Linked DNA regions of Caenorhabditis elegans. The protein of the gene in region 1 interacts with the protein of each later gene in a pairwise test. Each region holds a gene or a part of one and is shown on either strand. Other genes may lie near its edges.

What was found.
Region 2: the proteins of iglr-2 (region 1) and paqr-2 interact in a protein complementation assay, tested with the Caenorhabditis elegans proteins (one study listed by BioGRID).

Annotation. Positions count from the first base shown.
Region 1 is NC_003281.10:8,325,274-8,334,518, reverse strand, and holds iglr-2 (Immunoglobulin domain and leucine-rich repeat-containing protein 2), read left to right. Parts: upstream 1-3,571; 5' UTR 3,572-3,608; coding exon 3,609-3,789; intron 3,790-4,072; coding exon 4,073-4,210; intron 4,211-4,258; coding exon 4,259-4,476; intron 4,477-4,522; coding exon 4,523-4,622; intron 4,623-4,670; coding exon 4,671-4,869; intron 4,870-4,919; coding exon 4,920-5,039; intron 5,040-5,085; coding exon 5,086-5,220; intron 5,221-5,573; coding exon 5,574-5,798; intron 5,799-5,847; coding exon 5,848-5,967; intron 5,968-6,229; coding exon 6,230-6,379; intron 6,380-6,429; coding exon 6,430-6,745; intron 6,746-7,095; coding exon 7,096-7,227; intron 7,228-7,273; coding exon 7,274-7,452; intron 7,453-7,503; coding exon 7,504-7,612; 3' UTR 7,613-7,920; downstream 7,921-9,245. Other genes in the region: ZC262.4 (uncharacterized protein), read left to right, coding at 310-441, 488-751, 803-856; ZC262.2 (small acidic/RSRC2 family protein), read right to left, coding at 1,072-1,203, 1,255-1,410, 1,457-1,541, 1,592-1,746, 2,079-2,199, 2,243-2,295; mrps-18A (28S ribosomal protein S18a, mitochondrial), read left to right, coding at 2,623-2,737, 2,789-2,918, 2,988-3,086, 3,136-3,297, 3,345-3,390; ZC262.13 (FIP (Fungus-Induced Protein) Related), read right to left, coding at 7,921-8,151, 8,201-8,230; F10E9.12 (DUF7107 domain-containing protein), read right to left, coding at 8,975-9,245.
Region 2 is NC_003281.10:5,373,635-5,382,775, forward strand, and holds paqr-2 (Adiponectin receptor protein), read right to left. Parts: upstream 6,296-9,141; 5' UTR 6,286-6,295; coding exon 6,202-6,285; intron 6,125-6,201; coding exon 6,035-6,124; intron 5,503-6,034; coding exon 5,399-5,502; intron 5,351-5,398; coding exon 5,211-5,350; intron 4,529-5,210; coding exon 4,161-4,528; intron 3,753-4,160; coding exon 3,018-3,752; intron 2,805-3,017; coding exon 2,580-2,804; 3' UTR 2,579-2,579; intron 2,531-2,578; 3' UTR 2,065-2,530; downstream 1-2,064. Other genes in the region: Y32H12A.6 (Flavodoxin-like domain-containing protein), read right to left, coding at 7,406-7,581, 7,627-8,092, 8,159-8,356; Y32H12A.7 (ABC1 atypical kinase-like domain-containing protein), read right to left, coding at 8,801-8,986.

The DNA.
Region 1 (9,245 bases):
GAAGGAAAATCTCTCGCCGACGCTTTGATTGAGGTTCGTCTTGATCCAGATCGACCAATTATAGAAGTTCCCGAGCGAGTCTGGTGAGTTTCAGCTATTTTTTTATGTAATATATATATATTTTTCCAGGATTGGTGCCATCAATGGATTCCGAGGAGAAGAACGAAGATACGCCATGGTGGATGCTCTGCTTGCACTTCCTGGAAGTCATTCGCTCTACATGATGGCTTGTCGTATGGAAAAGCTTCGCGAAAAAACTTTCCAATTACTTTCTGGTATTTTTGCAGGTTCTTCTTTATCGAAAGAATTATGAATGCCGATAAATTTGTGGAAACCACGATCTCAGACTTTATGAGACTCAATTCTTCAAGAGACTTTGAGTATTTCGTCTCCATTGCTAAACAGCTCTATTCCAGAGGATGCCGTGATTATTACACTGAGGTAATCATAAAAATTTTATCCTCTTGAGAAATAATTCGATTTTCAGGCATTTCTTACGCATCTCAAAACGATCTTCCCAATAACCGAAGAAAATGCAGAAAAGTGGTTGAAGTACGGCGAGATGCTGGGTACTGTCGGTGAGAAGGATTTTCGAACGGACATTTTTGAGCAAATGATGAAGGATTTCGTTGACTCAAACAAACTCAGTCAGATTGCTGCCAAATTCCACGGATTTGTTGAGTCAGTGGATGATTGGAATCTTCTTGCCGAATGTCTTTTCTCCCGTGTGAGAGCTCTTGAGCATAAGATTGTAAGTTTTTCAGGAATCTATGTTGGGTTCTTGAAATGCAACTTCTTTCAGAATCTCACTGCCTCTGCTCCAATGGCTACTGACCCGAGTGAGAGTTCCTGCTAAATAATTTAAATTATTTTTCTTTGAGATCTCTTCTTGTTTTTATAAAATAGCCGCATTTTATGTAATTGATTTAAGTATTTTTGCAATAAACAATTTGTATTCATTTATTCCGTTTATTCAATTTCAATAAAGTTTTACTGATTGGGGATTAAATTGAATTTTGAAGTATTAACAGAAAACTAGAATAATATTTGCAAGGAATGTCAAATTGCAACTCAATGTCCAAATCCGAATCCAGTTCCACGTCCCATATGAGTTGTTTCTCTAGCAATTGCATATTGTTTCTCGAGATCGTTTAGCATTTTATCTTGGCGATTCTTTTCATCTGACAATCTCGACGAATCATCCTATAAATGTTAAATAATTCAATTTATATGGTAAAATAAGATATTTCTCACCGTTGGTTTCGGTGCATTCTTGACGCCCATCAAACGCATGAATTTGTTGGCTTTTGATGAATCGACCCCAGTTGCTGCGATGGCTGATGACCATAATTTTTCGTTTTTTCCTCCAGTTGCAGGTTCAGAAGATGACGAGGCGGTGTCAGTGGTGTTCTGAAAAAAAAAAGGTTTTAATGTGCAGAAAATAACGCAGTTGTACCGAGGAAGATGATTCTCCAGCCACTTTTTTGTTTCCCCAGAGAGCTTTTCGTTGAGCAGCAATCTCTTCAGCAGAGAGACGATTTCTGTAATTTCAATTTTTAATTTAAAACAGATTTACATCAACCATATTTACTTGTCATCTCTTCTTTGAAAGTCGTTTCTCCGATCATTCCGATCGTTTCGATCCGTTTTCCAGCTACCGTCGCCTCTTCTATCATCTCGCCGATCATTTCTTCCGTAATCACGTCTTCTCTCTTGATCGCGATCGTCGTGACGTCTCGATTCATTCTGAAAAAGAGGTTTAGAAGAATTTAAAGCTAAAATTTAGCTTTAAAAACTAGATATGCCACTAGATGAATTTGGGTGAAAACCTGAAAATTTAAATTTTTCTCGAGTTTCTCCAGTACTTTTCTCACCTTTCTACCAATGTGGTGTGCACCTTGTTTCAGACTCCGGATCACATCGGCAAACAAAACTAAATTCGTTAAGATATTAGTTTCAGTTTGCAACGATTTCAAGTCATTTATTGTTTTAATTTCAGTTTACACTTTCTAATTTGAACAAACTATTTTTTGAAACGATTTAAATTATCTAGTGAGTCTTATTGTTTCATTATATACCTTTTCTGGATGACGGTCTCGTTTAGGAGATCTCTCGCGTTCCTTGTGTGGAGAACGACTTCTGTCTCGTTTTTCCTTCTTCTTCTCCTTTTTCTCGTCTTTTTGGCGTTTTGCTACACTGCTGGAAAATGATTTTTTCGTTAACTTCGAAAGAAACAACGTACGTCTCAGTCTCTCCTTCGTCGTCACTGCTGCCGAATTTCGTATGTTTTCCCATTCTGAAAATCAATAATTTAGTGTTTTAAGGAAAACCACATCGTTACGGAGAACTGAGGGACGGGCAGGCTACAAAGACATGAAATATTTAATTTTTTTCAGTTTACTTTTTAGAATTTTATATAATACTTCTATAAGAGAAGGAATCTCCAGATCAGAAGCTGTAAAAAAAAGTTCTCTCAAATGTGTCGTGAGATTGTGTGTTTTGTCCGTAAGTGGTGTTTGCGTACATTTGTCAACCGTACCCTGGTCACATTTTTTTTCGATTCAACAAAACGTTTTTCCAATCTTTTTTACCTCGTTTCATTCATAAAAAATTCAATAATAAATGCAGATGCTTCGTCTCTACGCAAGTAATTGTGCCGGTAAGATAAAAGCAGCTGTCGAAACGGCTTCACGGTTACAATCGACAGCATCAGGAGCCGCTGGACATAAATTTCAGAGTTCGTTTATTTTGTTCATTTGCTAACATGTAATAACTTTTAATAATTCAGCGAAAGAAGATAAAAAAGAGGGAACAACGTATATTTCAATGGAAAAGGTGACGGACTCGCGTGGAGCACGAAAAGATGACGAGTTGTGCTCGCTGTGCACATGCAACGTGCCAATTAAGCTCACTTATAAGTAAGTTGTTTGAAAAATTACTTGTTTTTTCTTTCCGCAATTTGAAAAATGTTATTTTAATCGTTTCAGAGATGTTCTGATCTTGGAACAATTCATGAGAGACGATGGAACTGTTCTTCCACGTCAACTCACCGGGCTTTGTAAGAAACAACAATTGAGAATGGAAAGGTAATTAAAAGAAACTAACTGTTGCTTACATGCAAATAATTATTTGAAGATGTGTAATGCAAGCATTCTGGTCTGGACTTTTCGGTGATAAATATGGCACAGAAGCGGATAGAGCAGGTTATAAACGATTCAATCGATACTGGAAAGATGATATGTCAATGTATCAATTGGAGACGAAACAACGACATGGAACATGGTTTTATATTAAAAGGTTTTGCACTGAAAAATTTAATATTCAAATTATTTTTTGGTTTTCAGATATCCTACGAAGAATCAACAACTCTTCAAGAATCCACTCAATTGAAATTGTTAGATTTTATTTAGATATTATCCTTTTTTAGCTCAATATTATTCTGTTGTTTTGTTTGTTTCTAAAGAATTTTTCCGATCCTCGAACTTTCCATCGTTGTTTCGAAATGTTTTAAAACATTTTCAATATCTCTTATCTGTTGTTATTTCCGCTTTATTGCAATTCATTTTTCCAGGAACATCGCAGATGTCTTGATACAAAGAAAAGAAGAAATGCGAAAATTTGTATTTTTCGTCGTAGCTATTCTTATTCAAATTCACACGACAACATCACAAAGAAATAGAAGTTCATCGCCATCTGGATTTTTGGATCTTCAACTTGAAAAATGTCCTCAAGTTCTCGGATGTCGTTGTGTTCGGGATTCTACAAGAAATATTCAGTGCTTTTCTATTGGTAAGAAATTAATTTTTTAAACAAATGTTTGATGTTACTTTTCAAAAGGTACTTTATTAGAAAGGGTCAAGCTGAAACGCTCCAAAATTTTTTTTTAAAGTTTAGGATAGAACCTATTTTCAGCTAGAATTTTAAATTTTCCCCAGTTCATCAGTGTATAAAAGATTAAAATAAAACTTTTCTAAAAGTGGATAAGGAAAAACACAAAAAACGTGTTCGAGAAAATCGAAAAACTGACATCCTCGGCCCCCTATTCAAATAAAAACTATTTCATTATTTACAGACGAATCAAAACTTCTTGAAATTCAAAAAATCTACGGATCAAATATTCAACGTTTGGAACTTCACAATTGGCAACATGATCAGCTTAATTTCGATATTTTCGCACCATTTCCGCAACTAGAACATATAATTCTCCGAGGTAAATCGAGAATTGCTTCTTTAAAAGTATCAAAATTTTGATTTTCAGATGGTGATTTGGAATCTCTGAATGGAACTGTAATCCATCCAACTCTCAAAGTGCTTTCTATCGAAAATTCAGAGCTGACATCGAGCTCAGAAGTTTGTCGCCTTTTGAGCATTTTCCCGAAGATTCAAAGTCTATCCCTATCGAAGAATTATTTTGAGAAATTTGAATGCGACACGAGTAATACCAAATTAAAAATTCTAGATTTGAGTCAGAATAGAGTATGTCAATTATGCAATAAAAAACAATTCAAAGAAATAATTCTAGATTTCCCACCTGGAAGTGCCAAATACCCTCAGAGTTTTGAATGTTTCACGCAATAGACTGACTTCTTTTGAAAATATTTCGACGAAGCTGACAGATTTAGGTTTGTTCGAGAAAAAAGAATAATCGCAGTTAACAATTATTTTTACAGATATTTCCTTCAATAAACTATCCTTATGGCCATCTTTCGACGATTGGAAGTTCCCGAATCTTCGTAGTTTGTCGGCAATCAAATTGGATTTGCAAACGGGATTTCAATTAGATGCTCCACTTTTAAATTCTCTTAATATTGACGGCGCATCACTAAGATACTTGAATTTTCATCAAATCCTTACGCCGAAACTCAAAAAGTTTGTGATTTTTCATTATTTGGATATTATTAATTTTTCCAAAAATTCAGGTTCTCTGCTCGATATCTAACGGAGCTTCGAAATATTGCCGGTCGTTTACCTTCTACAGTAACGGATGTGGCTTTCACTGATACAATGCTGAGAACTCTTCCAGCTGATTTTATTCCAATGTAAGACATATTTTTCGAAATTTCATAATATATTCGGGATTTTTAGGTCATCTACCAACCATATGCAAAAGGTTTCATTCGATTTCTCTACGAATCAGCTTCTTTGTGATAAATGTTTATTGCAATGGTCTCTACCAGTTTATGCACAGACAAGTATTCGAAAAGATTGCAATTTGACACGGTAAATTATCATCTGGTCGCGAAAATTTTCGGTTTTGCCGGCGAAAATACAGGTCTCGAAAAGAAAAGAGTACTGTACTTTCAAACTTTTGTTCCTGCAGAATTTTCATCGATTTTTCATAATTCTTCGCGATAATATTTATTTAAATACATGAATTTTAACAAATAATGTGAAAAACTACTGAAAAATCTATAAAACATCTATAAAAAACAAAATTTTGGCTGTACAATAATCTTTAAAGGCGCACACATTTTAGCATTAACATAAAACATTGTCGTGCCGAGGCCGGTTATTCTGGCGCAAAATATGGTGTTTGGGTAATTTTTTTTAAATCAAAATGTTTCAATTTTCAGAGAAGAAATTGAATCGGCATCTTGTAAGATTGGTGTTGTTGCTAATGATACTGGAATTCAATATGGAAAATATGAGAAACCAACAGCAATTTCTTGTTTCTCCTACGGAGTTCCATCTCCAAAAATCAGTTGGTGGAGATTTAGACCAGCAGAGAAGCTTGGATCCTATGATCCAATCACAGATGAAATCAGTTATACAAATGTTTCGGAAACGATGAAAGAAAGGTATTTTATATCAAAAATAGACTTAAATAACAGATAATTACATTTTCAGCTATGAAATTCAATCTGGCGGGTCTCTTCTAATTCGATCACCCAACCGATCACATGTTGAACGATATGTTTGTGTCGTGGAAAATGAATATGGAAAAGATTATGGAATTTATCATTTTAGGTACTTCAAATAATTAGTAAAAGAAGGAGAAATTATATCTTCAACCAAACTTTTTAAAATTTCTCAAAATACATATGATTACGGCGGTCTAAAATTTCTCCCCTAAAATATCCAGAAATGAAATAAAAACTAATCGAGACGGAAATTTAACAATTTTGGAGACTTTCAACTTTTTCTAAAATTGTCATTATTAGTCTTAAAAAAATCGGTTTTCCACCTACCATAAATTTCAATAATCGAAGGTAATAACTAAAGTTTTTAGACTCGATTATCTCGATTGGTACAGCTATGATGTGTTCAATTCAGTATTTTGGGGAGGTCTCGCCACTTCATTAATCGTTTGTCTCATATCATTCTTGCTCAATATTACATGGATTCTCACCCGAAAAAGTGCTCTTTGGTGGATTCAAAGGTACCAGATTAATTAAATTAATAAATTAATTAAATCTATGATTTTTCTAGAGCCGAACGCCTGTCACGTGTCCGAAAAATGGTTGAAGCAATGGAAAAATATCGTGTTCGTCAAATGGAGTCACTTCATGAAAAATACACGAAACGCGTTCAAATTGTTCGTGATAATTATCATCAACAAGTTGAAGCACTTCGTGTATCGTATGCATCACAACAAGAGAAATTTCAAAATTATAAAGCAGCTCAAGTGGATGCTGTACATTCACATTTGGATGCAATGAGAGATGGATATAATAATCAATTGGGTAGAGTCAGAGAATATGGATCAAAACGTGCAGAACAATTATGGGAGAGCTATGAGCGACAGGTAAAATGGGGTTTTTTTTTCAAAAAGAAAATTTATGCAAATTTCTAAATGAAAAATGTGCAGAAAAGGTTTTTGAAATCTCTGAAAAATTGGCAAAAAATTTCAAAATTTAAAAATAATTTCCAATAAAAATCGAAAATGTCCTATGTGTAAAAATCTTAATCAAAAAGAAAAATTAAAGAACGAGAATCTAAAAATCGATTTAAAAAAAAAATTACAATCAAATTCGAATTTTGTTTATCATAATAAGATGAGTTTTAAATAGTTTGGTTATTCTCTTCAAAAGTTGAAAATAATATGACCAAACTTTGGAAAAAAAGAAAAAATACATTTTTATAAATTTTTTCCAGGTGAATCGCATGCGAACCTTCAGTCTACAACATCGTCTAAAAATGATGCGCCAGTACAAAGTGAAGCAACGTTATGTTAATAAATTACTCGAATCACTGCAAGCAACATCACCAGAAGTTCAATTGGAGAATGTTAGTTTCTGGAAAACTAGATTAATTGATTTTTTTGAAATTTCAGGAAGAAAAAGTACGTGCTGCTCTAGAGATTCCTGATGATTTGGCAACTATTGATGGTTCAATGGACACTCCTTCTCGCCTCTCGCGTAGTTCATCATTCCATAGTCTTCCTGAATATGTTATTGATGAACAAGGAAACGTACGACCGGGAATTATTCCAACAAATGCGCCTTCCATTAGGTTAATGTCTCACTGTCAGTGATGAAAAACATTTCTCATCTATACTTTCAGATTCACTACCAAACCAACAACATCTTCAATATCAAACGAGGCAAGTACCTCTTCTCCGAGCTCATCAGGAGCTCATCGATCGCCAGATTCTCCACCAGAAAAGAGATAATTCTTTAAATCATTTTGTTTGTTTGTCTATAACCATTCCAAAATCGGTGCCATCATCATCCGACCTATCATTTCTTTTTGCAATTAGTCCTAAAACACTTACTTACCATCTTCAGGAATAATGTTCTCAACTAGAGCTTTGTTTTTTTCTTTTCGAGAGTGTCTTTAATATATCTTTCCAATTCAATTGTTTCATGCCAGGAAATCCATGCAAACTTCTCCCCCAATTCCCACTTTTTGTTCCAAATTTCATGTGTTCATTTATTTATTTTCATTTAATTCAAGTTTTACTGTACGCATATTCAGAGATTAAATTTTTGATTGTATTCTTTTTTCTGGCGACGATTTCTGCATCAAACATACTCGATTGTGGCATGAATGAAATTCCGGACAAGTGAGGTCATCGACACATTTGAAGACATGCTCATTCTGATAGAAACAATGTCGATTCACACATTTATGATTGCTATCACAGTTCCGATCGGTCAAGCATTGTCCACGTGTGGATGCTGATGATATCAGCGGAACGAGGAGAAGAAGCTGAAAACTTCAAAATAATAAGAAATTTGTTATCATACCTCTCACTCACCAAAAATAGAATTTTGAGGAATTGAGTCATAGAATTGAAAAGTGCCAGATAATCAATATCACCTGACGAGAGCTCTTATCAGTTGATCGACACTTTAGAAAAAAAGAAAAAAATATATTACAACAATAGAGACATTTTTCCGAATGAGAGATTCTCTCGGTGAGAAATTTGATGAATTTAAAAATTGTGTTAGCTCAATTTTAAAATCTCCCCAAAAATTTAAGAATCAAATTTGCTACTTGATCTTGAAGCGAACGAAATAATCCAGCTACAGTACTCAAGAGTACGATATTTCGCAATTCGGCCTCTGAAGACTACTGTAGCCACACGTTTTTTCATGAACTTATGAGTTCTTATTGTTTTTATATCAGTTTTTCGATGAATCATCATATTTTTATGACAAAATATGAAAAAAATGTTATCTATAAAAATTCCAACGTACAAAAGTTTGGGATTACAGTAGTCTTTGAGGCGCACAAAATTTTGCACTTAAGAAAAATTGTCGTTTCGAGGCCGGTGCCGTATTTTCGGCATAAAAATCGCTAAATTTTTGCGTCTGGGTGATATAGAAAAGAAAAAGCAATTTCCGCGGGTACTGTAAGTGAAACTTTTTATTCGTTTCAGGACGTCAGGTCTCTACTTTAATTAACTGAAACTTTGAAATTTGAAGTACACCTTGGCGTCTTACGGTAACCTTATTAGTTGAAACATAATTGTTGAAAGATTTATTATGCACAAGAATTATGAAAAAAAAAGAAGAAACAAGAAAATAATTCACCATCGAAATGGGATACACATATTGATAATACACTGATTTCCAGAAGGACAATCCAATTGACTGTCACACCTTCGGAATAAATACGGGAATAGCTGGAAACGTTTCGCATTTAAACATTTTCCATCGTAACAAGCGGTTTCCGATGAGCAGTCCGTGTCAATAGAGCATCTTTGGATTAATGGAAGATATGGAATATTATCCGGAGTAGTTGGGATTTCATCGAATTCTTTGGATTTTTGTAGAACTGCTTCTAGTGGTAGCTTATCA
Region 2 (9,141 bases), 3.0 Mb from region 1:
ATAAATATCTGAACAGAAACTATTGTTGAACTGATTTTCATTCGTTTTGAAAATTGAGTTTCTAAAAACCGAAAATGCTGTGGAAATCGTGGAGATACACGTTTCAATACCAAAAAACGACCACCTTCAACGGATAAATCCGAAAATTGTATAAGGAATAACTAGAAAATGCTGCGAGAATGTTCTTTGAAATGGGCTTCACGAAAAGAAAAAGAACATCGAATTAGTGTGTATCTCTGTGTCTGTGTGTTCACTCAATCAATTTCACTCGGTCTACATTCGACATAGTCTCGCAAAAACACAATCCCCCGACATCACAAAAGGTTTCCACTGCGCGTGTTTCACTGAAAATATGATTTCACACAGATGTGAATTTCACGAGGCTGATTTACGGTATTCGGTCTCGAGTCGAGTGATGCGAAAAAGATATTGCTCCTTTGAAAAGTACAGTAGTTTTGCAATTTCTTTCAATTTTTCTTGTTTTGCTTTAAAAATCAAAATGAGATTTGTGCAGTAAACTGTAGAAAAAAAATTTTGATTTTAAATTAAAAAAAAAACAAAACAGCGAGGAGGACAAATTACTTTTAAAGGCGCACACTTTTATTTTGCTTTTTTGCGATTAAAAAATGCATCATAAATCGCAAAATGTATCATTTGAACAAAATAATGTATAACTGTGGGGTGCCGAAAATTGAGGCAGCTGATTCCGGAAATAGAGATCTGCGCCATTCGGTCAGAAGACGAAATAACACACAAAATAAATTGGACAGACTATTTTTAGTGCCATGGTAATTTTGAACAAAACATCGAGAATTTTTCTGAATATTACTGGGCAATTTAGAGAAAACTTGACCGCTGAAGGAAACAATTAAACATTTTGTTTTTTAAGTGTTTTCTTAAAATAAAATGCTGAAACAGTTATTTTATTCAATATTCAAAATTCACAAAGGCCTTCCAAAACTGACGGTTTTCCCCAATTTCCAAGTTCTTTAGAAATTGTGAAAGATTTTTGTCGGTTATTTTGAAGCAAAATCCGGAAAATCGCGAAAAGATTCTAATGATTAATGCTTAATCCTTTTGAAGGAAGAAAAATATTATCAAAATATATAAACTGGCATGTGAAACGTGGCTTATTTTTTATTTTGTTTTTTATTTAAGCTCCTCCCATTCCTGACCTTTCGTTGAAATTTTCATTTATTAGTTTATTAAAAAATGGGAGGAGCTTAAATAAAAAACAAAATAAAAAATAACCCACGTTTCACATGACAGTTTATATATTTTGATAATAACAAAATATTATTTTTCATTTTGATTCAGGAAATTTTCAGGAGAATGGGAGGAAAGTTGGAGCTAATAAATCGAAAATTTTGTTGTTTTTATCAGAGCAGAGACAAGAAATTGTTAGAATGCGGCGACCCGAAAGAAAAAAGAAAGAAAAATAGAATAAAAAACTGAGGAGCAACAAGTGAACAATGTGAGAGAACAAACTAGCCGCAGAGGGTGCAGACATGCATACAAGTGTACGAAGAGAACGGAGACTCTGCGTGACACACAACTCTGGCACTGGAATAATTTTTTGGGGCTGAAAACAAAAAATTCTAAAATAAACAAACAAATCTGAAAATTTGTCTACTTTTGGTACCGTACTCCATTTAAAGGGACATTCTACTATAGTATGCGTGGGTCTCGCAGAGATACAATATTTAATCCCTATTTTCGTAGATGCGCCTTTCAAGTTACTGTACTCGAGATTGTTTAATAAAATTCCTTAAATTATCGACTTCAAACCAATTTCAGATTTCAGCACTTCCTGATCGCCTGAGAACATTGAAAAACCAAAAATCTGATCAAATTTCAAGTAAAATGAAGAAAAAGGGTGATTTTGCTAGATTTTCACCTGCATGGTGTGGAACTACGAGTTTTTTCTGTAGAAAACTGATGAGAAATTGCAAGATATGTGATTTCGTGAATGTTTCGCTAAAACTCTTAAATTTCCGCTATTTTACAGACACTAGCGCTTGGTAATTATGCCGACTTCATGAATTGTTCGAAAAATCACAAAAAAAAATCGAAAATTTTATTTTAAATCGCCTAGACGACTACACTCACACGAAAATAGAATAATGGGCTACACAGTAAAATGAAATTCATAAAATACGAAAAAGAAAAAAAAAACAAAGCTCGAAAAGTTCAATGTTAAAGTTTAAAAAAACCAAATCTGGTTCCGAGAAAATGAAGGAGAACGCGAAAACAAGAAAAGAATAATAAGAAAACTAATTTCAATGGAAGAAAACGGAACGAAAAGGGGGAATAAAATGAAAAAAGGAGTGTATAGAATTTATCACATTGGAATTTTAGCTGAGAATGTTTCGACAGATAGTTGAGGAGCGTGGGGAAGGGGAACCAGGTAATTTGAAAGAAAATGGAAAAAAAAATGGTGAAAATGAGCAGAAAAAGGATAGTATGAAGAGGGTTGTAGCAGCTTCAAGAAGAGCATATATACGCAACTATACATATTGTGCAGAGGTTTCTGAAAATTATAAATTTTTTAAAAATAAAAAATTGGAAACAAATCTACCTCATAAACCAACATCCGCCGGTGTCCAGTCTCTGACATTGAGTGGCTCGTCGAGCCCAAGCAAAGTGCCAACGAAGGAAGGATTCAACTCGTTACCGTAACGAGTTTTCAGTTGATCCGGGCAGGATCCTTTCATGAGCTTATGCATTCCCATTTGGGAGATCGCGTGATAATGAACAAAAGCGGCGAGCACGACAAATGTGTGAAAGAGTTGATGCGATTGGAACTGAAAAAATAAACGTTATTAGTTTTTTTTTGAGTAAAAAAGATTGTTTAGCTTTTATTTTTTGAGTCTTTTTCGTATTTTCGTAAATTTTCTTTTGCAAAATGTGGTTTAAAATCTTTAAAGTTATGTTGTCTGGTTTTCCGGAAAACCGAGAATTGAAAATATATATTTTTATATTTTTCTCCAATTGCTAGTTTTTTTGAAACCACATACCCAAATATCGCACTTTCCAGGGAAACATCTCTCAGGTACACGTGTCGCATAGAGTGTTGCACCACCAATATACATGGCTCCCATCATAATCATCAAATGAACTTGTGACTCCTCAACCATATAATGAACACCGTCAACTACAAGTAAATGAAATGCTGGGACCACAGCCGATAGGCCCATTGCTATGAAAACTGCTGCTCGTACAGGCCGGAATTTGGGCTCCGCGAATTTATCCCAAAGCGAGACGACCATTGCAGCGATTCCAAGTATAATAATCATTCCGTTGTATATTATCATTGGTTGAGGTCTACAGTAGAATGCAAAATAGATCCACGGAACAAATGATCCAACGATGAGTAAGGAAATCCCAGTGTAATCGAGTTTACTGAACAGTTTAGCCATTTCAATAGAATGGCATGCAACCGTATGAAAAAGGAATGACATTCCAAGACATATCACTGCACCGAGGAAAAACGCCGAGTAGATCAATTTCTCCACCCATTGCATTTGATCATGGGGACGAGTCAGAAACCATATTCCGATACCGAAGAACGCAACACATCCATACATATGAGTCCAAATGTTTCCTGTTTCAGTGTGCAATGCAAAAATACTCTTGAAGCAGCTACTGAACGATGGAAGTGGAGGACGATGTCCTGTACGGAGGTATTCGTTATCTTGAAGCCATTCGGGTAGAGTTTCGAAATTTGTTGCCTTCCAGCGGGCTTCCCAGAACTGAAAATAATTTTGTAATATTTTTTTTTTAACTTTAATCGTTTTTTTTAACCAAAAAATTATTCTTTAAGATTTCTCATAATTTCAAGTAATTGTCTTGCAAAAAATATGTAGAAACTTATCAAAAATGTATATTTTTGAAAATTTTCTTATCAATAGCTCACATGTGTGCAAAATTTTTTGGCTCCTAGTACAAAGAAAATTTTGAATGTAATCAGAAAACTTTTAATAGAAAGAAAAACCAAATCAAACATTTTCGGAGATTCGTGAATTTTCAAAACTTATTAGAAATGTTTTTCTCTACATAATTTGTTTAAAGCAAAATTGCCGCCAATTAACATTTATCGCTGCATTTTTTGCTTTTTTTTGTTGCAATTTTGCAATTATCTCACTGGAGTTTTCCCTCACCCTCTTGATAACAGCTCTTGGTCCTTCTCCAGTTTCGCTAGGAATAATAACTTCTTCTTCATTAATCTCAACTTCAAGCTCATCATCATCATCACTATGATCCAAATGAATCTCCGCATCATGTCCAGCAGTAACAAATCTCAAATGTTTTCCATCTTCGTGTCCCCGACGTTGTGGATGTAATTTGTATTTGACAATTCGTCGACGATGCTGATTTCCACCTTCTTCATGATTATCATGAATAACTGCAACTGTCATCTTTTCTCCTTTTGCATTCGGCATACTCCATGCTCGACGATGTCCTTTTTTGAATGGTAATGCGGCTGCTTTAGACGTTGATGGGACATCTCCATTGTCAATTTCGATTCCTATAGAAATCATTTAGTAATAGTGTAGTTTAGTGAAAGGAGGGAAGTATTTTTGAAAAAAACGAATGAGAACACTTCCTGTCACCTAAAATTAATTTGAGGTGACGGTCAACAAGTTTTTTTTTGGTTGGAAATTTAACTTTTAATTCACTAATTTATTAAACGAGAGATCGGTGTAAATGATGCGATTTTTGGTTTATTTCGTTACACTGTAAACAAATAGTAAAAAAAAATTTTTTTTTGAAAATGTTCTCATAAATTGCGCAAAACTCTTATTTTTTGTTTGGTTTTGCTTTAATATCAAAAGCTCAAAAGAAATATTTTGTTTTGTTTTTATTGAACATTTTTAAAAATCGATTTTTTTACATTTAAAAGCCTTTTTTTCTTGAACTCTAACCTTTATGGGAATTAAATTGGATAAATCGATAATTTTTGAAAAAATTGGTTTAGATTTTTATTTGGAACATCATAAATAATGTAAATGTGTGAATTTTTTAATTAGAAACATTTCTTCAAAAATTCCATTTTTATGGACGAATTTTAATACTTCTCAAGAAGAATTTGTGGGAATGAACTATGAAATGAATATCAAAAATCGGTTCAAATACAAAAAGCATGTTATGCGAAATATTAAAGTATTTTTCGCACTTTAAAAAAAAATCATTTTTTTCAATAACCTTACCTTCAAGCAAAGTTGGAAGCCTATTCTGCCTTGTCACATACATTGATTCGTCTCTTTGCTGACTTGCAGGCTGTTCAACAACCTTACTATGACGAACAATAATCTCAAATCGTTGACCATCTGATGGCTGACTATTCGGACTGAAACAATGTTTTTTTGGAAGAAAAAAAAATCTGATGATTATTTACAATTGAACATCGACTTGATCAACAATCACATTCTGATTCTCTTGTGTATCAGCCAACTGCAGCGGTCCGTCAGTGATAATATTTTCTGCCTCTCGGAGCACATCCTGCAATGCACTTTTCAATTTTTCAAAATTTGATTTCTGATCACCGTAAAAATAACATTTGTCATATGAGGGCAAGCAGTGATAAATATGAAAACACGAAGTGGCTGGCTGGAGCTTGAAGAATGATATTCTAGCTTTTTTAATATTAAATAAGAATTAGCGGTAACTGACCACTAAAAAAATAGGAAAAGGTTTCAGAAAAATTCTCACTATTTGTTTTTATTGGTTTGCAGGAAATTCAAAAATAATGCCGTTAATTTTTTTTTGTATATCTGAAAAAACCTAAACTTCAGAAACTTTAAAATTTTTATACAGCTACAGCTTTAAATACCGAGAAAAAATTTCAATTTTTTTTTGAAAATAGAAGATCTGAAATAGTGGAAAATTACCATTTCTTTGAAAACACTTTTTCTTCAAAAAAACATCTCCAAACAGTGAGAATTTCTTAAAACTTCTAGCTCCAGCCACCACTCACCGACAACAAAAATCAATAATCATATGCTAATCTCTTTCAACCCAACAAAAAACGTACAGTAACACTCCGCAATGGGCTTTGTAGATTACTGCTATTCCGATTTTCCATAATTAATTCATCATTGTCCAACACCATCACCATATCTCTCTGAAATGTAATAAATTAAAACTAAAAACTGTGTTTTTTTTCTTTTTTCATAGAATAGATCACGTGAAATAGATTACCTCGTCAAACGAATTTCGAACGCTTTTTTGCAAAAGTTTTTGCGATTCCGCCGGTGTTGCCGATTCCACGTCATCTTCCTCCATTTTGTTAAAGCTGAATTTTAGTTTTTAAAATTTTTTTCAACCGAGAATATAAGAAATTCCAGAAAAAAATCAAATAAAATCGGAACTGTGAGAGAATAAAGCGGATATTGATTAAAAAGCTTTTGCTCACACATACAAACCAAAAGCGCAAAGTTTTCTCCGTTTTCTCAAGAAAGCTTATGAGACAAGAGGGCGACTCGTGCTGCTGGAATGTGTGTTGGTGCGGGGAAGCGCATTTGCTGACCGGAGACTCAGAAGAGGTCAAAGTACTCCTGCATGAATTGGATCCAATGTAGTGAAATTATGACTTCCTTGTTTAAAATATGAGTTTCTGAAAAATTTGTTGAGTATTTTCAACGAGCTTTCAAGTTAAAACAGATTTTTTGTGTTTCCCGATGTAAAGCTCCAAGACGTGTTCGAAGAAATGGCGGAAAAATCGGCGGAAAAAAATTTGGGAAGTTACGCGAATTTTCCATGAAAAAAAGATTCGAAGGCAATTTTTCATATAATTTTTAAATAGTTTTCAATTTAAGTTATCGAAAATTGAGGATTTTAATGTTTTAAATGAAGAAAACACCTGAAAAACCACAAAACTTCGCTAAAAATTAACAAAAGATAAACGAAAAAGACACAATTGATATTCGTGATGAGACCCAAAGTGGAAGTGGTATGTGCCTTTAACAACTCGTTACGGTATTTTGCTTCTAAACTTTTTTTTGAGTTCTTTTACAAAAAGGTTTTCGTAGATTTCTAGTTTTCAGCACTGATCAAACTCATTCTAATTTTTTAATGCTTCGAAATATGCAAAAAAAAACTCCAATTATTTACAAGAAGCAACGGAAACAGCTAAACTTTAGAGCCCGTGCCGAGACCCGTCCTGGAAATGACATGCGCCTTTAAAACTACACTACGGTAATTTGGATCAATATTTACTTTCTCAAAAATTAATGTTTTCTTATTATTTTGGCAGTCACCAATATTCTTTAAAAAAAGCGAATTTATTTATGAAAAATGTTGAAAAAATAATACAAATATACAAAATATCTTTAAAATGCAGGAAAATTCAATTAAAGCTCGATATATAAACAATTATTAAAATATAAATATTTATATTCAAATTTTATTTCGACTTCTTATGTTTCTCTTCGACTTCATTATCATCCGAAGAGCTCTCAGATCTATCGTCTCCAACTTCCGATTCTTCGGTGTCTTCACCACTCATTCCAGGAAGATGCTTATCCATTTGCAAAAGGAGTTCGAACGAAAATTCCACAAATCGCTCCATAGTTTGCTTATCTGAAACTCAACATTTTAACAATAATCATTATTACGGTATGATACCAGTGTCAGTTGTATTGAAAAGTTCGACTTCAGTAATTTGCCTAGCTCCCAAGATTTTCATTCGTTTCAGCAAAGTTCTGGCGACTTTATTGAACCCAGCTGGCCCATCATCACTGCTTCCGAAGCCAACAATTGAAAATCTGATTTTCTCGAAATTCGCCTTCTTTCTAAGCTTCGAGTCCGCTGCGAGATCCTCAAGCCATTCCAAAAACCATTCTGTCGAGGGTGTCGGCTGACCACCAGCCGTAGTTTCAGAGATAAAAATACAAAATCCCTTGAAGGCCATTAACTCCTTCACATCCAAAGAGTCTGACCACCAAATCATCGGTTTTCGGACCATTTCATCACAAAGCTTGTCGTGAATCACCTTGGCCCACGGAGCTGCGAGCCCGTCTTCTTTTCCTAGAACTATTACGACGGCTTCTGATTCGGCAAGTTCCTCGGCAAGTCGTTCTTCTTCTTTTTTCTGAAAGAAATTGGAAGTCGTGGCGAGACCAGATTTTTGTTGATTTTGTTTTCCACTATTACCAACCTTTGAATAACGTTCATAATATGCATGGCACTTGCGATAGAGCAGATAGACAAATCCCGGCATCAGAACTCCCAAAGCGGCAGTTATGTATAGCAGAATCTCGTCCTTTCCTTCCAAATAATCCTCGAGCCACGACTGCGGCTCCTTGCCACGTGGACCTCCTTCAGGTCGCAGTGGTGGAACTTGGTAGGCACACATTTGGATATTTTACTGAAATTCGAGCAATTCTCAAATAAGATAATAATAAAAAGATTCAAAACGTAGACACCGATTTAGTTTTGAGAGAAGTGTCTGCGCCTTTAATATAGCCATTTTCTTCATTAAAAACGTACCAAAATTACACCACAACACATCATGCAAGGAGCACCACACAGCAGGCATCTAAGTAAAAAAAATTGGAAAAAAAATCAAACTGGCTAAGAAAAAGAAGTAATAGAACTGGACAGTGAGACCAGCATTCCGAAAAAAAATTTAAAAAGTTGAAAAGCAGAAAATATTGTTGAACATTTTTATTAGCAACAGTTGAAAAATGCGTAAAACCCAATGAAACAAAAAGAAGATCTCTAAATACTAAAACTATAAAATCTTAAAGCTACTCTGAAACTGTACAATTGAAAAGGACGATTTTCGCAAAAAAGTCCACTATACGAGAACATTTAATAAAAACGGTCTAGCGCATTGGAAGAGATCAAGATCCGGATCCAGAGATCGGCCGAATCCTTCGAGAACCATTACAGACAGGATTACTGTAGTGAAAGCCGAGTCGAGCTCCACTTTGTGCTCCGCCACAATTGTGAACATTTCTGAGAGAAGTGCCGAGATATTGAGCTGAAAAAGTTTATATTGATGAGGGAACTTTATTTGAAAAATTTCAATTTCAATATATTTCGAAACTAAAAAACCTATAATTTCTTGAGTTACTGATTTTTGAAACAAAATCGGAAATACATAGTTTTGATTTAAATTTAGTTTTCTAAAATTTC